Danio rerio: one gene and its partner. The protein of the gene in region 1 interacts with the protein of each later gene in a biochemical or structural test. Links are inferred from orthologs where the notes say so. Each region holds a gene or a part of one and is shown in the gene's direction. Other genes may lie near its edges.

Evidence for each region.
Region 2: the proteins of hsf1 (region 1) and ptges3a form a complex in vitro, tested with the Homo sapiens proteins (2 studies listed by BioGRID). The link is inferred for Danio rerio from reciprocal best matches to the Homo sapiens genes HSF1 and PTGES3.

The regions. Positions count from the first base shown.
Region 1 is NC_133194.1:3,478,479-3,482,134, forward strand, and holds part of hsf1 (heat shock factor protein 1), read left to right. Parts: intron 1-1,659; coding exon 1,660-1,784; intron 1,785-3,656. UniProt on the Homo sapiens protein: Functions as a stress-inducible and DNA-binding transcription factor that plays a central role in the transcriptional activation of the heat shock response (HSR), leading to the expression of a large class of molecular chaperones, heat shock proteins (HSPs), that protect cells from cellular insult damage.
Region 2 is NC_133198.1:29,970,519-29,974,841, forward strand, and holds the start of ptges3a (prostaglandin E synthase 3), read left to right. Parts: upstream 1-1,369; 5' UTR 1,370-1,539; coding exon 1,540-1,541; intron 1,542-3,663; coding exon 3,664-3,777; intron 3,778-4,323. UniProt on the Homo sapiens protein: Cytosolic prostaglandin synthase that catalyzes the oxidoreduction of prostaglandin endoperoxide H2 (PGH2) to prostaglandin E2 (PGE2).

The DNA.
Region 1 (3,656 bases):
TATATGACTTATGCATTTTAACTGGTCACAAGAGATGTCATAGGCTAAAGTATTTTTTTAAACTAAATTTATCATTTTGAAATGCCTATATGACTTCTCTGGTGACCTTATATTTATTTATTTATTTATTTATTTATATTAAATTAATTTTACTTATTTGTGCATTTTTGTGAATATTTATATTTATTTGAACAATTTTGAAATAAATACTCACAAAACTGCACAAGTAAAATAAAATGTAATATAAATAAATAAACAAATAACAGGTCACCAGAGACGTCATATGAGGTATATTATTTAACAAAATAATTTATAATTTTAAAATTTCCTAACTTTTATTCATTTATTTATTTTACATTTTTTTACTTATTAATGCAATTTTGTAAGTATTTATATTTAATTTAACAATTTTAAAATGAATACTCACAAAATACATAAATAAGTCAATTAAAATCTAATATAAACAAATAACAGATCACCACAGACATCATATAAGGTATATTATTCAACAAAATAATTGATCATTTTAAAATACCTTGCAAGACTTATCTGCTGAACTTATTTATTTACATTACATTTTATTTGACTTATTGATGCATTTTTGTTAGTATTTATACATTTTTAACATTTTTAATATAAACACTCACAGATAAATGCATAAATTAGTCAAATAAAATGTAATATAAATAAATAGCAGGCCACCAGAGACAACATATAAGGTATTTCAAAATTATATATTGTTTTCTTCAATATTTTTATGACTAAATAATAACTTTTAAACGTATAGAGTTAATATATTATGCAATATTTTTTAATTTCATGTTTTCACAGTAATAGTCTGAATCATTAGATTAATTACAGACCAATTTTATTTAATCGACAGCCCTAGTTCATAACATTCAGAAAGGTAAATTTGATGTTCTTATAATACATAAAAATATATAAATACTATATAATTTATAACAACATATATGTACATATATTCGCAATTATTAAATTGTACACACAGAATAAAAATGTTTTCTTCCAGTTGAAACCATGTTAATGGCATTTATATTCTTTTATTTTACAGAAAAGTTCCCACGGTTATTAACAGCTTAAATCTATAATTTTCTTTACAAAGTTAGATGTACATTTAATCAATAGAGAGCATGATTTAACCGAAACATTTAAAAGCCCCTCGAATTCTGTTTAGAGATCTGCAACTTAGATTTTCCCCTTAAGAAATTTGCAAAGCTGGGATGATGTCTAACCAGCCCAAGTTATTATAATAGTTTTTTTTTTTGCAATCAATGATTTCCATGTGCTCTGCCGGGTTTCCTCGGGCCAGTTTAACTCCTGGTGTCCCTCTTTCCCCCCTTTGGCTCGGTGACAGATTGCGATAATCAGCAGGTCGGAGCTGAAGCCAGCTGGAGACTTGAGTGTGGATTAGAGACCGAGGTTCTGGGGCACTTAATCTGGCGTCGCTCTGGTGCTCCATCACCACTTTCCAGTTCTCCCATTTATAGCCTTTCCTCTGCCGCTCTGTCCAAATGTCCAGCTCAGGGCGGAAATCAAACCATTAGCACATGCTTTCCACTATGTGAGGGTTCAGAAAGGGGTCACACACACACACACACACATGTCCATCTCTGACGTTTTCATTGTGTCTATCTGCAGGTGTCGAATATTAAACATGAGGACTACAAGTTCAGCACGGACGACGTGTCTAAAATGATCTCAGATGTCCAGCACATGAAGGGCAAGCAGGAGTCCATGGACTCCAAAATCAGCACCCTCAAGCAGTAAGTCATGAGAAGTCAGTTGGTATTCAGAAAAATTAATATTCTGTCTGTGTTTGTTCACACTTCCCAGGTTCTTTCTTACTTTTGCCAAAAGAAGATATTTAGAAGAATGTTGGAAAATTGATTACCATTTATCTGATTAAATACTGTAAAAAAAAATCTACATTTTAGCATGATGAAAAAAATTAGTTCACTTGAAAAAAAAAAATCTGTCATCCTTTTTTTTCCCTGTTCTTCCACCAAAAAGAAGATATTTTGAAGAATGTTGGAAGACCGGTAACCATTGACTTCTTTTTTTTTTTTTTTTTTTTTTTTCTTTTGGGTTTTTTCCGGGTTTTCACCTTTAATTTTATACGACAGTAGAGAGAATAGACAGGAAAGTGTGTGGAGCAGAGAGAAGGGAAGGATCGTTATAGGACCTCGAGGAAGCAATAGAACTCTGGTCGCTTTGAGCACCAGAGTTCCATGTGCTGCTACGCCATTGGTGCAGACAACCTTTGACTTCTATAGTATTTTATTTATTCATTCATTTTCCTTCAGCTTAGTTATTTTTCAGGGGTCGCCACAGCGGAATGAACCGGCAACTTATCCAGCATATGTTTTACACAGTCACAAGCCAGTACTGGGAAACACCCATACACTCTTACATTCACACACTGTCATACACGGTGGCTCAGTGGTTAACACTGTCGCCTCACAGCAAGAAGGTTGCTGGTTCGAGTCCTGTTGGGCCAGTTGGCAATTCATTGTTTCGATTATAACAATTAAAGAGGAAATTAAAATTGAAGAGAACTTTAAACTTTGTATCACAAAAATTAATTATTATGCAAGATATTTTTAAAAGGAAAGCACTTTTATTTTGAATTATGATAATAACACACTTACCGGCCACTTTATTAGGTACACCTGTCCAACTGCTCGTTAACTAGTTTAGGCAGGTAGACATGGTCAAGACAATCTGCTGCAGTTCAAACCGAGCATCAAAAAAGGGGGGAAAGGCAAATGGCTTTTTAATCTCAGAGGAGAATGGCCAGACTGGTTCTAGCTGATAGTAAGGCAACAGTAACTCAAAAAAACCACTCGTGACAACCGAGGTCTGCAGAAGAGCATGTCTGAACACACAACACGTCCAACCTTGAGGCGGATGGGCTACAGCAGCAGAAGACCACACCGGGTGCCACTCCTATCCGCTACAAACAGAAAACTGAGGATACAATTCATACAGGCTCACCAAAATTGGACAATAGAAGATTGGAGAAACGTTGCCTGCTCTGATGAGTCTCTATTTCTGCTGCCACATTCGGATGCTCGGGTCAGAATTTGGTGTCAACAACATAAAAGCAAGGGTCCATCCTGCCTTGTATCACCGGTTCAGGCAGTTGGTGGTGGTGTAATGGTGTGGGGGAGATTTTCTTGGCACACTTTGGGCCCATTAGTACAAATTGAGCATTGTGTCAACACCACAGCCTACCTGAGCATTGTTGCTGACCATGTCCATCCCTTTATGACCACAGTATACCCATCTTTTGATGGCTAATTCCAACAGGATAACGCACCATGTCATGAATAAAGGGACTAAGCCGAAAAGAAAAGGAGTGAATGATTCAGTCAATATGTTCTACTTTCTCTGCCTGTTCTGGTTTAGTCAAGTATCTAAACTGATTGCTAAGTAGAAGTGTTTCACTGATGTAACAGTTGGCTTGTTGACAGTCATTCAGTTAGTCCTCATCCAGTGTTACGCCGACTGGATATCAATAGCAGTTCAAAGTGTAACGGCTGAGATGTGAATGTGGGCTAATCTCTGCCGGGTTTGTGGCTGCTCATTAATGCTTCACCTTTTTCAACCCGGTTAGTCATGGCTCTAAATCAGCC
Region 2 (4,323 bases), on another chromosome or scaffold:
GACAGACAGACAGACAGACAGACAGACAGACAGATAGATAGATAGATAGATAGATAGATAGATAGATAGATAGATAGATAGATAGATATTAATAATAATATATTAATAATTATAATAATAAAAATAGCACATTCATCCATCTATATACCTTAACTGTTAAAAATCCGCAGACAACAACCAAAAATTATAAGTTTTTATAAATATTATTATTATTATTAGTAGTAGTAGTATTAATAATAATAATAATAATGTTGATTGTTGTTGTTTTGTTTATAGCAATAATTATTGTCATTATGGCATTGCTATTATTGTAAATAATGTGTCATGGTTATTTTATTATTATTATTAATATTATTATTATTATTAATAATAATAATAATTATTATTATTATAATAATCATCATCATCATAATGATAATAATTCATTCATTCATTCATTCATTCATTCATTTTCTTTTCGGCTCAGTCCCTTTATTAATCTGGGGTCGCCACAGTGGAATGAACCGTCAACTTATCCAGCTTATGTTTTAAGCAGTGGATGCCCTTCCAGCTGCAACCCATCACTGGGAAACATCCATACACTCCCATTCACACACATACACTACAGACAGTTTTAGCTTACTCAGCCAAGATCACATGTCTATGGACATGTGGGGGAAACTGAGGCTCCCGGAGGAAACCCATGCGAATACAGGGAGAACATGCAAACTCCACATACTCCACTGACCCAGCCGTGGCTTGAACCAGCAACCTTTTTGCTGTGAGGCGATTGTGCTGCCCACTGTACCACCATGCTGCCAATAATAATAATAATAATAATAAATAATAATAAATAATAATGATAAATTATTATTACTATTATTATTAATATTACAAATTTTTCATAATTTGTTGTTTTATTATTACAATTATTATTATTATCATCACTATTAATATAACAAATGTCTACTAAAGTATTAATATTATTGGTATCATTTGTATTATTACCTTATTTCGTTTGTTATCTGCAGTTCTTTAAGTGTTGCCTTTATCAGACTGACAGATATTTGTATTTATTTATTAATATTTAATTAAATGCTTTTTATAAAATACATGTGAATGCACATGCACTTCATTCATTTCGCCTAGTGTAGTACGCCTGAGGATCCTGACAAAACAATTTCATTCTGACTCAAGAAAAAGTATGACGTATGATTTGTGTGGCCCTGCATCAGTGGACGTCCTGTACTGTACTGTCAAGGCGGAGCGAGCAGGGGAGCGAGCACTGCGTTACTATGGAGACGTGTTTGCTTAGGGAACGCGCATGGCTGGGGGCGCGCAGCAGAAGTCGCTAGAAACGTTGAGCTGATGCGTCACTGCGCGCCAGTGTGTAGAGACACGCGCACTCCTTGTGCAGGTTGACAGCGGCGCATAAACAGCTATAGCTTCCGTCTGTATGCCTTCACTGTGATCTGACAGCACAAATCCAAAACACTACCCCAGGCGAGAGGACGCGAGAGGAGACGCAGATTTGGGTGAACACTGAAAGGAGAATTCGACATGTGAGTCTGACCGGCAGTCATAGGGATGCACTAACTTTAGCTAGTTAGCAAATGTGTGCATAACCTTTATCAGCGAAACACCAGATTCTCTCTCATACGCCAACTATCATGTATGAACATTTAGGACAATACGAATCTTCCTCGTGAAGAAGCTTAGAATTTGTGTAGAAAAACGTCTAGTGGTAATTGGTGGTGGAAATAGCACACATTGTCCCCACAGCAGAGCTTAGCTAGCTGGTTAGCAGCTAGATAGTTAGGCCTGGGGTTACTGCAAGCTACTATGGCATGATTCTATTCTGTTCATCTATTCATGCTTCATATGCATTATTGTAGAATGTACAAGCAATATATGTGTCATATAAATCAACCTTTTACAGATCAAGGCTTGCAGGCTGGGTGTTCCCTATTGGAAAAGAACATGCTTAAGTCATGTTTGCTGTTTGAACGGGTTTAAGAAGGTATTAATGCCAGTTTATGCTGGTCTTCCATGCTGGAGATCAGTTGGGTGGCTATTTGGCCAACTGAAGGGGTTTAGTTTGTCATCCCAGCTTTACACGACAGGTTTGTGAGATGGTTTTGAGTACTTTCCTTCAGGTCATGCTGGTTAACAGTCTACAGGCTAAACCAGCAGAGCAAGGCTGAAAGGTTTTCAGCTGCGATCAATGATACACCATCTTTTTAAATGCATGTATGGACATGATAAATGCTAAAATTAAAAAATATGAACCAAATCTCCTTTATAAATAATATAGTAATATAATAATAAATGTTCAGCATCTTGTGGTTTCTGAATGATCACGTAAAACACTGAACCCTGGAGTAATGATGCTGAAAATTAATCTTAGAAGGGATAGTTCACGCAAACATTTTCATTTACTCACCCTTTAATTGTTTCAGACATTTGAGTTCCTTCTGTTAGACACAAAAGATTTTTTAAAGAAAGCTGGAAACCTGTAACCATTGACTTCTTGTGCTTTTTTTCCTACAATGGAGGTTAATAATTATAGTTCTTTAAAACATCTTTTGTGTTTAACAAAAGAAAAATACTTAAAGGTTTAACCACATAAGGGAGAGAAAATGGTGCGAATTCTAAATATTTGGGTGAATTATTCCAAGAATCAAAGTTATAAAGTTACTTTTTAAAGCCTTAAAATTAAAAAGTTACTTAGAATGACTGTTTTATTGTATCCTATACAGGGTATCCACAAGGTCTTAAAAAGTCTTAAATCTCAAAAATTTTAATTTAGGCCTCAAATAGTCCCAAATCAACTGAAATATTGTGTTGTATGTCTTAAATCTTTTTTAACATTCTTAATTTTCCTCTGTTCATGTATAGCTTCCCAATCTGGCCATTAACACTCATACAATCACCAACAATCTCAACAAAACTTTTCATTTAGAAATTGCATTTTGAACTAATTTACCATCATTGTTTAATTACTTTCCTTACAGTAATTGTTTTTAAAAAGTTCGCCCATTTATTTACTGCTGAGGATACTGACCACCTGACCTATATTTGTTATTATTAAATTATTATTATTATTGTATTATTAAATGTATTAAATTCTAATTATTTTTGAGAGGGCAAGTGAAAAAATTTTCCAACTGGGATATTCGAAAAAAAAAAATCCTTAGCATTTAGCTTTAAGTCTAAAATTTCCTTCATGATAAAAAGGTCTTTAAAAGTCTTACATTTAACCTAATGAAACCTACAGAAACCCTGCTTATAACTACAGCAATAAAAATAAACTCCAGATTTAAATAGGAGTTATTGTGCAGCCCTTTATTACAGAGGCCTGGTTTTGCTATAATTGTATTACATGGGTTAAGCCTTAGGTAGATTGTTAAGAAGCCATGCATGATCCTGCCAATTGATACAAATAGGTTGCCACGGTAACGTCATTGTTGCTCCACCCCCGCCAGGACCTCCTGCCCGCACATGTTAATTTAGAGCTGCACTTTTAGTGTGGAGTTTGACTTTTAACAAATGCACTTAGCTGGTTGCTCAGTTCCTCATGGATTCCATTAGAATTAAGTGATATTGTGTTTTTGAATGTCATATTAAAGTGGAGTTAGACTGAAGCCTTTTCTAAAACATTGCTTTTCATTTTTTGTTTTGCAGGCAGCCAGCTACTGCCAAGTGGTATGACAGACGGGAAGCTGTCTTCATCGAGTTTTGTATAGAAGACAGCAAAGATGTCCAAGTTAAATTTGACAAAACAAAGCTTGATTTCAGGTACATCCTTGTTTTAAGTTGTTAATAGTAGGCCTGAGTGATTTTGGAAACATTTTACATTGCATTTTTTTCTCTGCGATGTATATTGCGATATAAATTCAATTTCACCAGATGACAGTTATAGCTCTATCTGCAAAATCTTTAGTTTAGTGTGATTGGGATGATTGTGTAGGGGTGTGAAATATAAATATATATTTTAAATGTAATTTATTATATACATATAATAAACAAACTACATTCATATATCAACACAATGGTGCAAAAATGAAAGTAAATTAAACCATGTTTTCTGGAGAGAATCTAACAGTATTCAGGTACAGAAATTAAATAAATGTAAAATGTCAAATGTAAAATAACATTGCATAGTCTTCATTATACAAGTAATTTAATAAAAATAACCTTTATTAAACTTCTTTATGCACAACTAAAATGCTTTAAACGTAAAATGCTCACATAGTCTTTTTGGGTTGCAGCTGGAAGGGCATCCGCTGCGTAAAAACGTGCTGGATAAGTTGGCGGTTCATTCAGCTGTGGCGACCTCAGATT